Lepisosteus oculatus: one gene and its partner. The protein of the gene in region 1 purifies or fractionates together with the protein of each later gene. This does not show direct contact. Links are inferred from orthologs where the notes say so. Each region holds a gene or a part of one and is shown on either strand. Other genes may lie near its edges.

What was found. The genes of interacting proteins can lie anywhere in the genome.
Region 2: the proteins of Na(+)/H(+) exchange regulatory cofactor NHE-RF2 (region 1) and plcb3 purify together in Homo sapiens (co-immunoprecipitation; 3 studies listed by BioGRID and IntAct, with this or other methods). This does not show direct contact. The link is inferred for Lepisosteus oculatus from reciprocal best matches to the Homo sapiens genes NHERF2 and PLCB3.

What each region holds. Positions count from the first base shown.
Region 1 is NC_090714.1:2,507,400-2,514,916, reverse strand, and holds the start of Na(+)/H(+) exchange regulatory cofactor NHE-RF2, read left to right. Parts: upstream 1-4,500; 5' UTR 4,501-5,119; coding exon 5,120-5,326; intron 5,327-7,445; coding exon 7,446-7,517. Other genes in the region: nthl1 (endonuclease III-like protein 1), read left to right, coding at 107-212, 465-633.
Region 2 is NC_090713.1:21,868,033-21,875,025, forward strand, and holds the start of plcb3 (1-phosphatidylinositol 4,5-bisphosphate phosphodiesterase beta-3), read right to left. Parts: upstream 3,022-6,993; 5' UTR 2,429-3,021; coding exon 2,330-2,428; intron 1-2,329. UniProt on the Homo sapiens protein: Catalyzes the production of the second messenger molecules diacylglycerol (DAG) and inositol 1,4,5-trisphosphate (IP3).

The DNA.
Region 1 (7,517 bases):
CTGTATGTCCCATGACTCATGTTTTCCGGTCCACCTTTATCGTGGGCCCTTAAAGCAAACTCGCGCTTCTCTGTTCCCGACCTGCAAAGGCATCTGTGTCTTCCAGGAGTGGATACACATGTCCATCGGATCGCCAACAGGCTGGGATGGGTGAAGAAAAGCACAAAGACTCCCGAGGAGACCAGAGTCGCATTGGAAGACTGGTTGCCAAGGTAACTGCACAGCTTGCCAGCCACAGCTTGGAGGCCTAGTTACTGTCCCTTATCTGTAAAGGGACAGAAGTGTTCTGTGGGGTTGACAGTTTTGTTCACTACTTTTTGATCACTAAAATAAAAAAATCTGCCAAAGTTTCGTTTTTTGGGTACGCCACAAATTAAATAATGCGATAAGTCTCTGCCACCTTCTCTAGTTGTCTGGAAGCAGTGCTTCTGCCGACATTTACTAATCCTAGTAATCTATTTCAGGGACCTCTGGAGTGAAATCAACTGGCTGTTAGTTGGTTTTGGCCAGCAGGTGTGCCTGCCAATAAACCCGCTGTGCTCAGACTGCCTTAATAAGGACAGCTGCCCCTATGCCAACAGCTACAACAAGAAGAGGAGCCATGAGCCCCCTTCCAAAGACCCCTACTCCTAAAGTCTACTAGCGTACATTTGCCTTTTATCTCAAGACAAGGGATACTCGTGCCAGTTTTCCAAACGTTTTCCTCATTAGCCAATTGTTTCTTTTCATCGGGGACGTGGATTTTGTTTTGATTGCCAATTCAGGAGGGTGGCCCGTGTGGCGCAGTGGTGAGCTCTGCTGTGCGCGGCCCCCGGGGGCCCTGGGTTCAATCCCCGGGGTGCTGTCTGTGTGGAGCTTGCACGTTCTCCCCATGTCCGCGTGGGTTGCCTCTGGGTGCTCTGGTTTCCTGCCTAAGACGTACTGGTGTGTGAATTAGCTTCTGGGAGGACTGGCCCTGGCGTGTGTGTGTGTGTGTGTGTTTGCTTCTGCACGTCCCATCCGAGGAGCATCCCGCCTTGTGCCCATTGCTTGTAGGATAGGCTCCGGCTCCCCTGTGACTTATCCCATATTGACCTATTGATTAGCAGATGGATGAATGTTAGTTTAGTTGAGTATTATAGGGACCAAGATGTATGAGGAATAAAAGTCAATGCATAGAAACCGCAGCAGCAGTTAAACATAAAACTGGATCCCAGTATCACACTGATATGTGGTGTGGGAGGAAACAAAGGCATTTCTTTCACAGAGGTGTCTGACCCAGACACCTGAGGCTTACACTAACTGAAACAGAGGGGTTAACAGAGTCTCAGGGAGGTCAAATACCCACGTCTTCCCTCTCGTCCACTCCTGTAGCACTCTTATAAAGGAGTATTGCCAGTTTCAACTGGGTTGGGCTGCAGGACTGGAGGTGTTTACAGGTGTCTTTTGTTTTGTTTCCTCCGAGAATGTGCCGAAAATCACACTCACTTGGACCCGGGTTTTCATACCAATTGTCCAGGGGACATTGAGGTTTTTAATCATCACAGTTATCTGTAATGGTTTGTTCTCGTTCAGTGTTTCAAGTGCTGCCACAAGACTTTATCTTTATCGAAAAACCTGTAGTGGGGAAAAAGCCAGATGTCATTGGAAACGAAGCTTATGTGTCACATTATAACTCAGAACTCTTTGTTTTGGCTTGAAGAAAACGTTGTATCCAAATGATTCTCCTTGTTCTTTTGGAAATTGTTTGTTTTTTCCACTTATAATTGAAGTGTCTGATAAAAAAAACTATTTGTAGGGAAGTTTGATAAAACATCCTTTCCTTAGAAAATAAACAGTAACAGTCATTTACAGTCCAATGTTCTGTTCCTCTGTAAATATTTTTTCAATCATTCTTTCTACGAAATAAACATTGGAGAGAAACCTGTACTTCACTGATTGCTCCTGGCTTATCTTTGAAAATGTGTCTGTGGTATTTTATTACCAGGCAGTTTTTGTAGTAAATAAGGATAACTTGCTATTACAATAAAAAACACCTACCTTGCTAATTTCTGCACCACATTTGCCAAGATTAAATTGATTACCTCAGTTGTTAAGCCTTTGTTAATTATGTAAGTTGACTATCTGCTAATGTATTCATTTATTATTGATGTATTACTTTTATATTGTTTGTCGTGCTGCATATATTTGTAATGGCACATGGTAACACTTCTACATTCATTTAAACCTCATGCTTTCACATGGACGTTTAAAAGGTCATGCAAATAATCTGATTTAAGAAACGGGGTTGTGGTAGACATTTTTTTAAAGCAAAATTAAAATATGTTAAATAGTTTTGTGAGCTTTGTTAAACATCCCCAGCTTTGCCTTATGGTAAGATTTGATTCTCATTAGTATATCTCCAGACTCCTTGAACCTCAGAATTATTGGTACTTCCGCTGGTTTTGTACGTTTTAAAATATGTTTATAATTATTCGACATGGTGTGAACATCACATTATGATTTTATATGTTAGCTTAACTTTTTACATGACCATCTTCATTAAAAACTGCTTCGGGTGAAAACGGGTAAGCCTTCTGAAAGCAATTTAAGCGTTAACTGCCCATTTATTTTAGTTCCGAAACCACCGTAATATTTTTAAATTGAGCGCGTGGAATGGTAGAGCCACAGAAGACGGTATTTTGACTATCCCTACAATTGTTCTGCCAATTAAAGAGCAGTTTCATTTAATTTGCACAGAATTATGGTATATAAAGTAGGTTACATGTAATTGATGTCTAGATGCAGAAGTACATTAAGGTCTGTAGTGTATGTACAGTATACAACGTGTTATAGTATGGAGGGTTATCATGTCTTCCTTTTAGTTCCTTAAATCAATGTCCGGGAGGGATTTTCAAATAGCTTAACCTGTCCTGAAATTGACTCTTATTCTTGTTCCCCAAATGTTTTCTGTGCGTTTGATTTTTTCACGTGTAGTAACCCTATATCATCTTAAATCTGTTGTGTTACTGTTATGGTTAATTGTTTTATTTTAACGCCTGTGGCCTAGTATCCGCTGAACTAAAGATAAAAAGAAACTGATAAAAAAGTACATGTGCGCCGACCTACCGTAACGTCGACATTTTACGAGAGCGGTTACGCGTGTTTTCCAGCATGTGGCAGTACACCAACGAAAGTGCACACGAGAAAAGTAGCAAAACGTAATAGATGTTGACACTTGAAAACTTCTAGTCGATTCCTTCTGTAAATCGGCATTGCAGACAATAATGTGCTACATGTCTATAGTTTACAATAAATAAAAAAGGTTTTATTTCGAATAATATTTACCAATCTCATTTAAAAATGTTCAACGGGCAAATTGAGATCATTTCATACCAAGTAGATTTCTGAGTTTTGTAGCGACCTAGTAGAATCTTTTAACTTGTCTGGTATGCAAAAAAAAGTCAGTTACTGAGTCAGTTACTAGTTTACCTAAACGAAAAGAGCCGCACCTTTATTTTTCTAGGATGTCTTGAGCGTTGTCTGTTACTCCCCGGCTCAGGAAGCTGCTCTCCCGACAGCCCAGTCATCTCCTCAGGCACGAGTCGCTGACACTTGCCGCACGTTTCCCCGAGACCCGGGTGCAATAACAGCCCAGAGAAAGTGGCACATAGCGAAATTAATTGCTTCAATTAATAACAATAAACGACTTGCTATTATTCGTAAAACAAAATGGCATTTTTCGGTAGAAAAACGCACTCAAAATCGCATTACCTCAGAATACACGTTCTGTACAGATACAGTAACTATAACACAATATCCCATGAAATAGTTTTACAAATATGACTCCTTTTATTCCATGCTGAAAAGAGAAGAAAAAACACAACGTTTCGGCCGTGGAGCCTTCTTCAGGAGGGGCTCCACGGCCGAAACGCTGTGTATTCTTTCTTCTCTTTTCAGCATGGAATAAACCTATTACTTGTTCCTTTGCAGCCTACGCATGCTGATGCAGCTACCCTCATGAAAATATATAGCTCCTGTTTGTTTTATGTGAATTCTTGGGTTATTTTAATGCAATAGTAGTTTACTGGAATATTACACTAAATACAGTAGCTTATTGTAGATAAGCGATCTCAGCTGAACTTATTTGTGTTTTAGCGCTTTTCCTGATCAAAATACAGAAATTATGGTTCTTTCTGTCACGTCACTGGAGAAATGCACCAGCACATTAATAAAATAGTGAACGTGATCGCGAAAAAGAATTTCAGTGCTCGCGCTTTTACGCATGGTCCGAACTTTTTACGTATTTTAAAACCTTTAAAAAACAGAGACTTTACATATAAAAACTGATGTAGAATAAATCCATCTGTAAAAAAAAAGAATCCAAAGGTAAGAAAAGTACCCACAACAAAAGATTTTCAGTTAAGTCTTAAGCCTTTGGTTAGGATAACATCTTTGAAAGGACTGTCATTAGTTCACAGAGTGGTCAGAGAGTGGAACTGATGTCGAGATCTTGTTTTATTTTTTTTTTAAAGCAGCCATTTGGTAGGGCGGTGGTGCTGTTGAGCTGTAACAGATCTAAGCGACACATCTATTTACTTAAACCTTGTCGTGTAATTGAATCCTAATTCCCCAGCTGAGTGTTGCGGATGGAGCACGGAAGGAGCGCTTGAGCTAGTTTCTGTTCATGGCCTGGAGCCTCATGTAGTTCAAAATGACAGCAGCCCAACAAGGGGGAAAACTTAAAAAAACGGAGTCCGTTATGCCGCGAAATCCATCGATTCCGTAAAATAGCGAAGGGAAAAAAAACTTACACACGCAAAACAAACTGGAAACCGGTTACCTGTTGCTGTTCTCTAGACGACCACCACTGGGATTACGCCTCACACTTGTGGTTTGTTATTAAAGAATGTTAAACGCCTGTGGATATACTTTTAACCTAAGGAACTTTCATCCTGTGCGTTTTTCGTTTTTGTGGTCAATGTTTTGAAAATCCCTAGCGATAATCCTCACATTTCGGGTCTTTGGAAAATTATCGGCAGCAAGTTTAAAGGGACTGCGTCGAGCGAGCAGTCGGGCGGACGTGCACTGGGAGAGGACGACAGTAGTCTTCAGGTGGATAACAAAAAGTGAAAACGCAGAAATTGGTCTGGTGACAAACATGACCAAGGAGCTGAAACCGCGGCTTTGTTTCATGACGAAAGGGGAGAATGGGTATGGTTTTCATTTGCACGGCGAGAAAGGGAAAAGTGGCCAGTACATACGCAAAGTGGAGCTGGGCTCACCCGCGGAGGCTGCTGGGCTCCGAGCAGGGGACCGGGTGGTGGAGGTGAACGGTGACAACGTGGAAAAAGAAACGCATCACCAAGTAAGTGCCGAAACACTATCTGAACATCCCGTTGCCCCCACAGCCTTTGGTTAGACCTTTCTTCGGTCGTATTTTGTGACGGTGATGAAGCAGCCAATGTTCCCAGAAACTGTGCCCAGACCCCATCTTTTTTGCGCTAATGCCGTCATTTCTTTGCCCAAATAACGTTGGAAATTGCAGTACCGTGCGCGTATCAAGACCTGCCCGGTGGTATGAACTGGAAAGCTGAGGGCAGGTTAGATCTGACCAACCTTTTTAACCGAACTCTGGGTTTTATTGGCACTGCATTTAGCTTGGTGTGCCCTTTAAAAAGCGCTTGAACACCCGAAGTTACTGTAAATTGAAACCTTTCTGCTTGGTTTATTGGGAATGCCCTAGGTCCTAGAGAATTCAGTGGAAGCTTTCGGTTCTTAAATAAATGTCATCATATGACATTGTTTATATTATTTGAGTTCGGTTTCCTCGTAACAAACGAAATGCTTTATTCTTTCAATTTCTACGCATAGCCAAGGAAGTTATTGTGAAGACAAATGACTGATGCCACAACAAACGGGTGTTTGTTTGCTCCGTGCAGTTGGCCGTACCAGCACAGAACCATTGTGTGCAGGGAGAAATTGTCTCCAAGGAAGGGACAGTTCAGCACATAAAATAATCGTTCATGTAGTAGTTCTCAGGACGTAACTCCTCAAATACTTTGTAGCTTCATTGTCAAAATGTTTTGTTTTGCCACATAGAAAAAGTGTTACATTTTTTTAACACCTGTATGGATTACTGAAAGGTCATATACGTTGTTGTATATCGTTCAGCATTTTTAGTAGTATTTTAGTTTAACAACTGGTGCCATTCTCATTTATCAATTGGAGTGCTTGTGCTGTGCTTTTTTTGTCCAACGAAAAAACTTTAGTTTCCAATCAGTCTTGCTTTGCTCCCTCTTTTGCTCTGGGACTCGGTTTGCAGGGAAGAGATTTTCTCCTGTCTCTGTTTAATCACAAAATAAAAATGCAGAAAATAATTATAACTTAATGAGCCCTTAGTCTGACAAATTAGGTGAAAAATTAGTATGCAATGATTACATTATAGGTGAATACATTACATTTATTTGTCTGTTAGTATTGTTAGAAAGCTGTATTAGCCATCTTGGCACTCAAGGTGAGTCTACAGGAATCTTAGTGAACTGACCAGCTCATTAAGAAACACAAAAAAATAATAATTCTGTTTTCTTTAGCAGGTGAGACATTTTTTTTTTATTGTCAGTAATGACAAGGATAGTCTGAACTTTGAAATCCCAAAAAGTCTTTGCACATTAAAGAAGGGTGTTTTGTTAAATGAGCTATTAGATGCTTCATATTAAAGTCCTCACCAAACCCCATGAATCAAAGACAAGAGCTGGCACTCTCCTAGGGAATAGAGTCACTCCATGGGAGTATTTACATTCTTTCCTCTCTCTGCTTTGTGTTTTTGGAGTCATTCACCCTTGTGAGGGGAGATAAGGGCCTATTAAACTGGGGATTAACAGCTTCCAAGTGGAGACTCAATAAATTCAATTGGTGGGTTCAATCAAGAATGTTACTGCTCCTTGTGGCAGACTGTGGCATACCTACAGTAGACTTCATTTCTTTGTGGCTTTCCATACATGTCATCTGGTTTACTTTAATCAGTTTCAAAGTTCGTTTTACTCTCAGATCCTTATTTTGTCAGGGTGTAAACTGCCTCCTCTGTAGTAAACAAATCCAAAACAGACCCTTGGTCTTTTTTATTTTGCTGGAATGTGCAATTTGGATGTTCTGTCAGAACCAAAGCAGGAATTATTGTTGTTTTTATAGTTGTATCAGATTCTGGCCAACTTCTAAACCTAAATATTCCACATTTTGTCCCATAAGGAGATACCGACATAAGAATGCTTTGTCAGCAATGTTGACACATTTTCAGCTCGGAGCGAAAATGGTCCACTGCTCCTTATGCTGTATTTTTGGTGAGCTTTCCATATTTGTCTGCAGAGCGGAAGGAGGACTTTTCCTTGTACCTAATTTAATGATATTTAATTATTTAATCATGTAAAACCCCGGTGGGAGTGGGCCTCGCAGCAGCCTCAGCCCCCGCTGTCCTCCTTCGGCTGCAGGTGGTGCAGAGAATCAAGGCCCTGGAGAGCGAGACGCGGCTGCTGGTGGTGGACAGAGAAACGGATGAGTAT
Region 2 (6,993 bases), on another chromosome or scaffold:
TCACAGGATACAGGACACACACTCCCTGTCAGGACACCTGTCCATCACATGAGACACACACACACCCCCAGTCAGGACGCCAGTCCTTCACAGGGTAAACAAACGCAGAGAGGGACGATTCAGACACACCAGAAAGAAAACCCATATAAGGGACAGGCCACTGTGTGCTGCGCGTTTTCCCTGGATACACACCAGGCCAGGTGAGAGGCAATGAAATCACACTGACGGTGATGAGGCTCGTTCGCACGTCGCCGGAGATGCACTCTGTCCACACGGCTGACCGGGAAGAGCCCAAAGAAACCAGCACTGTACCGTACGGACCACCGGGCCATTCTGGTCAGAAGGATGACAAAACAAGTGGAGAAACCCTGCTGGCTCCCAGTCAGACTTCAACCAACAGCCCTGTCAGTCCTGAGCAGCTCAGACTGCTGCGCACCTGGAGTCTGACTGACTGCACTGTCACACCTGGAGCAGATCAGACTGCTGCACACTGGGAGTCTGACTGACTGCACTGTCACACCTGGAGCAGATCAGACTGCTGCACACTGGGAGTCTGACTGACTGCACTGTCACACCTGGAGCAGATCAGACTGCTGCACACTGGGAGTCTGACTGACTGCACTGTCACGCCTGGAGCAGATCAGACTGCTGCACACCTGGAGTCTGACTGACTGCACTGTCACACCTGGAGCAGATCAGACTGCTGCAGACTGGGAGTCTGACTGACTGCACTGTCACACCTGGAGCGGATCAGACTGCTGCGCACCTGGAGTCTGACTGACAACACTGTCACACCTGGAGCGGATCAGACTGCTGCGCACCTGGAGTCTGACTGACAGCACTGTCACACCTGGAGCGGATCAGACTGCTGCGCACTGGGAGTCTGTCTGACAGCACTGTCATATCTGGAGCGGATCAGACTGCTGCACACTGGGAGTCTGACAGCACTGTCACACCTGGAGCGGATCAGACTGCTGCGCACTGGGAGTCTGACTGACAGCACTGTCACACCTGGAGCGGATCAGACTGCTGCGCACCGGGAGTCTGACTGACTGCACTGTCACACCTGGAGCGGATCAGACTGCTGCGCACCGGGAGTCTGACTGACTGCACTGTCACACCTGGAGCGGATCAGACTGCTGTGCACCGGGAGTCTGACTGACAGCACTGTCACACCTGGAGCGGATCAGACTGCTGCACACTGGGAGTCTGACTGACTGCACTGTCACACCTGGAGCAGATCAGACTGCTGCGCACCTGGAGTCTGACTGACTGCACTGTCACACCTGGATCAGATCAGACTGCTGCACACTGGGAGTCTGACTGACTGCACTGTCACACCTGGAGCGGATCAGACTGCTGCGCACCTGGAGTCTGACTGACAGCACTGTCACACCTGGAGCGGATCAGACTGCTGCGCACTGGGAGTCTGACTGACAGCACTGTCACACCTGGAGTGGACCGGACCGGACCGCCATGTAGTGGGAGACTCTCTCCTCCTGGCTCGTGCAGGCCACCTTCAGCACGTCCGTGGCGGCGGCGGCGGCAGCAGCAGCGGAAGGGAAGTCCCGAGCCCCGCCAGCGGTTCGTGTCCCACCCGGGAACCCCTGCGCGCCCTCCCGGCGTCCCCCTGAACCCGACCATCACAAAGCCGGGCGAGGCCCCGAAAACCCCGTCCGTTACCCCCCTCGGTTCAGTCACTACAGCAGCCCTGACAAAGCTGGGCCCCCCTCCCACACACACACACAATGTCGACACACCTTCGCAAGGCGAGTTTGTTTTCTCTCTGCCGAGGGGTGTTCGCGGAAGACAGCCGGGCAACCACGCAACACGAAACAACCTGACAACTTTGCCACTAAGGACATGTATACACACCCCCCCCCCATCAACCCCTCGTCGACGCGGTGACATTGGTCTTGAACGAAGGGCCCAGTTAGGACTTTTTTTGTTTGTTTTCCACTCCTTCCCACCCACGGCACACTTTCGCTTCTCGAATCGCAACGCCGACCGACCGACCGACCTCCTCCCCACCCCAACCCCATATTTCTCGCGTCCCTCGTCTCCCTGAGACAAAAAATCCTCCACAGACACCCCCCCCGCCAGATTAATTAAAACACTAGGAGAAGCGGGGAGCGGGGGACTCCTCTCGCTTTCCTACCCCTCCGCCGACACCAGCCCTGCAGGTCTACCGCCTGAGCGCGGCCAACCTGGACGGAAACACGACCTGCGCTCGCAAAGACAATAATCATAATCATCCAGAAATAAACCGACGCGCGTCTTTGCCAGGGCCCAGGGTGGTGGTGGTGGTAGTGGTGGTGGGTCTTCTTACCTCTTCCCACTTGATGAACTTGCTCCCTTTCCTCAGAGTTTCGTGCACCGAGACCGGCTTGAGCTGCAGAGCGTGAACTCCCGGTCGCGCCCCGGCCATCTCGCCGCGCCGCGGGCGGTGTGGGGGTGCCGCTCGGTCTCCCCGCCGCTACAGCTCCGCGTCGGGGTCAGGGAAGGGACGGGGACCCGGTTCGGGGCTGCTGCTGCTCCGCTTTCTCTCTCTCCTCCGTTTTGCTTTTGCGTTTCTTTCCGCGTTCCTTTCCCGGAGCTCCGGACGAGCGCCGAACCGCCACCCCGACGCGCCTGGAAAACTTTCTGCTTCCTCTCCGTCTCCGGCTCTCCTCAACTCCGTTTTTTTTTTTTCAGTGTTTTTCCTCCTTCTTTGAAACGCTTCGCCTTCTGTCGCTCATGTTTCTGGAGAGAGAGAGAGAGTGAGTGAGTGTGGACAGGCGGAGGGAGGGAGGGAGCTTCCTTCGCCTCTGCTGAAGAAGTTGTTCAATTATCGCTGTCAATCGCAGTTCAAGCCTAAGATGTTGGGTATTTTTTTTTCCTCTCCCTCCCTCCCCTCAGTCCTCCGGAGGCGGGTCTTTCTCTCGAGTACTTAAATAATAAACGCTGGGAAGATTAAAAGTCGGGCACGTCTTAAAGGAGCAGCGGGGAATTGTCATCGGCAACCCGCACAGACCCCCCCATCTCCCTCTCCCCCTTACACGGGATTACTCGGCGCTCCCAGCCTGGAATGTCGTCCGGCTCCCCGGACAAGCCGTCTTAACCCCTCGGGCGCCGGGCTGCCATTTTTAACCGGCGAGTGGCCGTGAGTTATATCTAGTTCCTGCTTTCGTCGCCGCGCTGGTAGGAGCACGCCCTAAAAACTCCCAATTCCCCCCCCCAAAAAATAAAAATGAATTCCCTCTTCCCCTGTATGAGGCACACAAGATCCCCCCCTCCTTATTCTCTCTCCCCGCGCAAGCTCGGGCAGAAAAACGGAACTCTGTGGTGTCCGTGTCTCCTCCTCTTTGTAGCTCGGTGTTGTGCCCGTCCCGCCTGCCTTTCACCTTGTGGACGTGGTTGTTGTCCGGTCTCGCCGGTACTGCCCCCCTGGCGATTTGTTCTCCTGGACACTCTGTGGAGATAAAAAAAAACACAAGTAAACCATTTCACTGTGGGCATTTTACAAGCCTGGCAGATGGACATTAATAGTGTCTTGCCGTATACTAGCAATAATCTCTGGACTGGGACCCTGAACTGGGGTCTCCTGGGTGTCGGGGGTCGTCCCAGACTGGGACCTTGAACTGGGGTCTCTGGGCTGTAGGGGCTCATCTTGGACTGGGACCCCGAACTGGGGTCTCTGGGCTGTAGGGGCTCATCTTGGACTGGGACCCTGAACCGGGGTCTCTGGGCTGTAGGGGCTCATCTTGGACTGGGACCCTGAACTGGGGTCTCTGGGCTGTAGGGGCTCATCTTGGACTGGGACCATGAACTGGGGTCTCTGGGCCGTAGGGGCTCGTCCTGGACTTTCTTTACTGGATAAGGAAACACCATATTTAGTTAAGTCCAACACAGTCCAGATGGGGAGTTTCAAGGAGCATTTTTGTTATAATTTGACAGCTCAGTTTAAACAGAGGCTGATGGACTTTTTTTTTACCAGGGTTTGTGTCAAATGAAGTGAGTGAGAGAAGGGAAGAGCAGATTCATACAGCCTGCTTCAGCATGTACACCCTGCCACTGCAGTCACTCTCCTGCTGGTAGTGACCCTCACACTCTGTAACTGTGTAGAAACCTTGTAGCGCATCTCTCACACACAGTCATACAGGATCACAGCCCATCACCTCTCTCACACGCAGTCATACAGGACCACGGAACATCACCTCTCTCACACACAGTCATACAGGATCACGGAACATCACCTCTCTCACACGCAGTCATACAGGATCACAGCCCATCACCTCTCTCACACGCAGTCATACAGGACCACAGCCCATCACCTCTCTCACACGCAGTCATACAGGATCACGGAACATCACCTCTCTCACACACAGTCATACAGGATCACAGAACATCACCTCTCTCTCACACAGTCATACAGGATCACAGCCCATCACCTCTCTCACACGCAGTCATACAGGATCACAGAACATCACCTCTCTCACACGCAGTCATACAGGATCACAGCCATCACCTCTCTCACACGCAGTCATACAGGATCACAGAACATCACCTCTCTCACACGCAGTCATACAGGATCACAGCCATCACCTCTCTCACACGCAGTCATACAGGATCACAGCCCATCACCTCTCTCACACGCAGTCATACAGGATCACGGAACATCACCTCTCTCACACGCAGTCATACAGGACCACAGCCCATCACCTCTCTCACACGCAGTCATACAGGATCACAGAACATCACCTCTCTCACACGCAGTCATACAGGACCACAGCCCATCACCTCTCTCACACGCAGTCATACAGGATCACGGAACATCACCTCTCTCACACACAGTCATACAGGATCACAGAACATCACCTCTCTCTCACACAGTCATACAGGATCACAGCCCATCACCTCTCTCACACGCAGTCATACAGGATCACAGAACATCACCTCTCTCACATGCAGTCATACAGGATCACAGCCATCACCTCTCTCACACGCAGTCATACAGGATCACAGCCCATCACCTCTCTCACACGCAGTCATACAGGATCACAGCCCATCACCTCTCTCACACGCAGTCATACAGGATCACAGCCCATCACCTCTCTCACACGCAGTCATACAGGATCACAGCCCATCACCTCTCTCACACGCAGTCATACAGGATCACGGAACATCACCTCTCTCACACGCAGTCATACAGGATCACAGAACATCACCTCTCTCACACGCAGTCATACAGGATCACAGAACATCACCTCTCTCACACGCAGTCATACAGGATCACAGCCATCACCTCTCTCACACGCAGTCATACAGGATCACGGAACATCACCTCTCTCACACGCAGTCATACAGGATCACAGCCCATCACCTCTCTCACACGCAGTCATACAGGATCACGGAACATCACCTCTCTCACACGCAGTCATACAGGATCACAGAACATCACCTCTCTCACACGCAGTCATACAGGATCACAGCCATCACCTCTCTCACACGCAGTCATACAGGATCACGGAACATCACCTCTCTCACACGCAGTCATACAGGATCACGGAACATCACCTCTCTCACACACAGTCATACAGGATCACAGAACATCACCTCTCTCTCACACAGTCATACAGGATCACAGCCCATCACCTCTCTCACACGCAGTCATACAGGATCACAGCCCATCACCTCTCTCACACGCAGTCATACAGGATCACAGCCCATCACCTCTCTCACACGCAGTCATACAGGATCACGGAACATCACCTCTCTCACACGCAGTCATACAGGATCACGGAACATCACCTCTCTCACACGCAGTCATACAGGATCACAGCCCATCACCTCTCTCACACGCAGTCATACAGGATCACAGAACATCACCTCTCTCACACGCAGTCATACAGGATCACGGAACATCACCTCTCTCACACGCAGTCATACAGGATCACAGCCATCACCTCTCTCACACGCAGTCATACAGGATCACGGAACATCACCTCTCTCACACACAGTCATACAGGATCACGGAACATCACCTCTCTCACACGCAGTCATACAGGATCACAGCCATCACCTCTCTCTCTCCCTCACACACACACAGTGATATTGTACATTGCCTCCCACACACACAGCTCTCCCCTATCTCCGTGTGTCCCAGAGCAGAGTGGTTTACAGCTGTCCCTGACTGCCTGGGTAAAGGTTAGAGAGCAGGAGGCAGAGGCTGGAAGATCGAACTCTGAACTCCAGCCAGCAGCCAGGGAACAGAGAGAGGGGGGGGGAGAGGAGAAAGGGGGAGAGGAGGGAGGACAGAGGGAAGAGAAGGAGAAAGAGAGACTCTCACTAGGACACCCAGAGTGCAGAGGAGGGGCAGACAGAGACGAGGATCCTCTCCTGATTGCAGTCTGTCCAGGAAGCCTGAGACAGTGGGAGAGTGTTCTTGTCAGAGAGCAGCAGGGGGGTGGGGCTGGCGCACAAAGACACATTGTGACCCGCACTGGGCTCAGACACGCTGGCACACACTGCTACACACACACACACAGCTACAATCACACTGCTTCACACACACTGGCACACTACTACACACACATTGACACAAACACTGCTACAATCACACTGGCACACTACTACTACACACACTGCCAAAATCACACTGCTTCACACACAGCTAAAATCACACTGCTACAATCACACTGGCACACTACTACTACACACACTGCCAAAATCACACTGCTTCACACACACTGGCACACTACTACACACACATTGACACAAACACTGCTACAATCACACTGGCACACTACCACTACACACACTGCCAAAATCACACTGCTTCACACACAGCTAAAATCACACTGCTTCACACACACTGGCACACTACTACACACACATTGACACAAACACTGCTACAATCACACTGGCACACTACCACTACACACACTGCCAAAATCACACTGCTTCACACACAGCTAAAATCACACTGCTTCACACACACTGGCACACTACTAC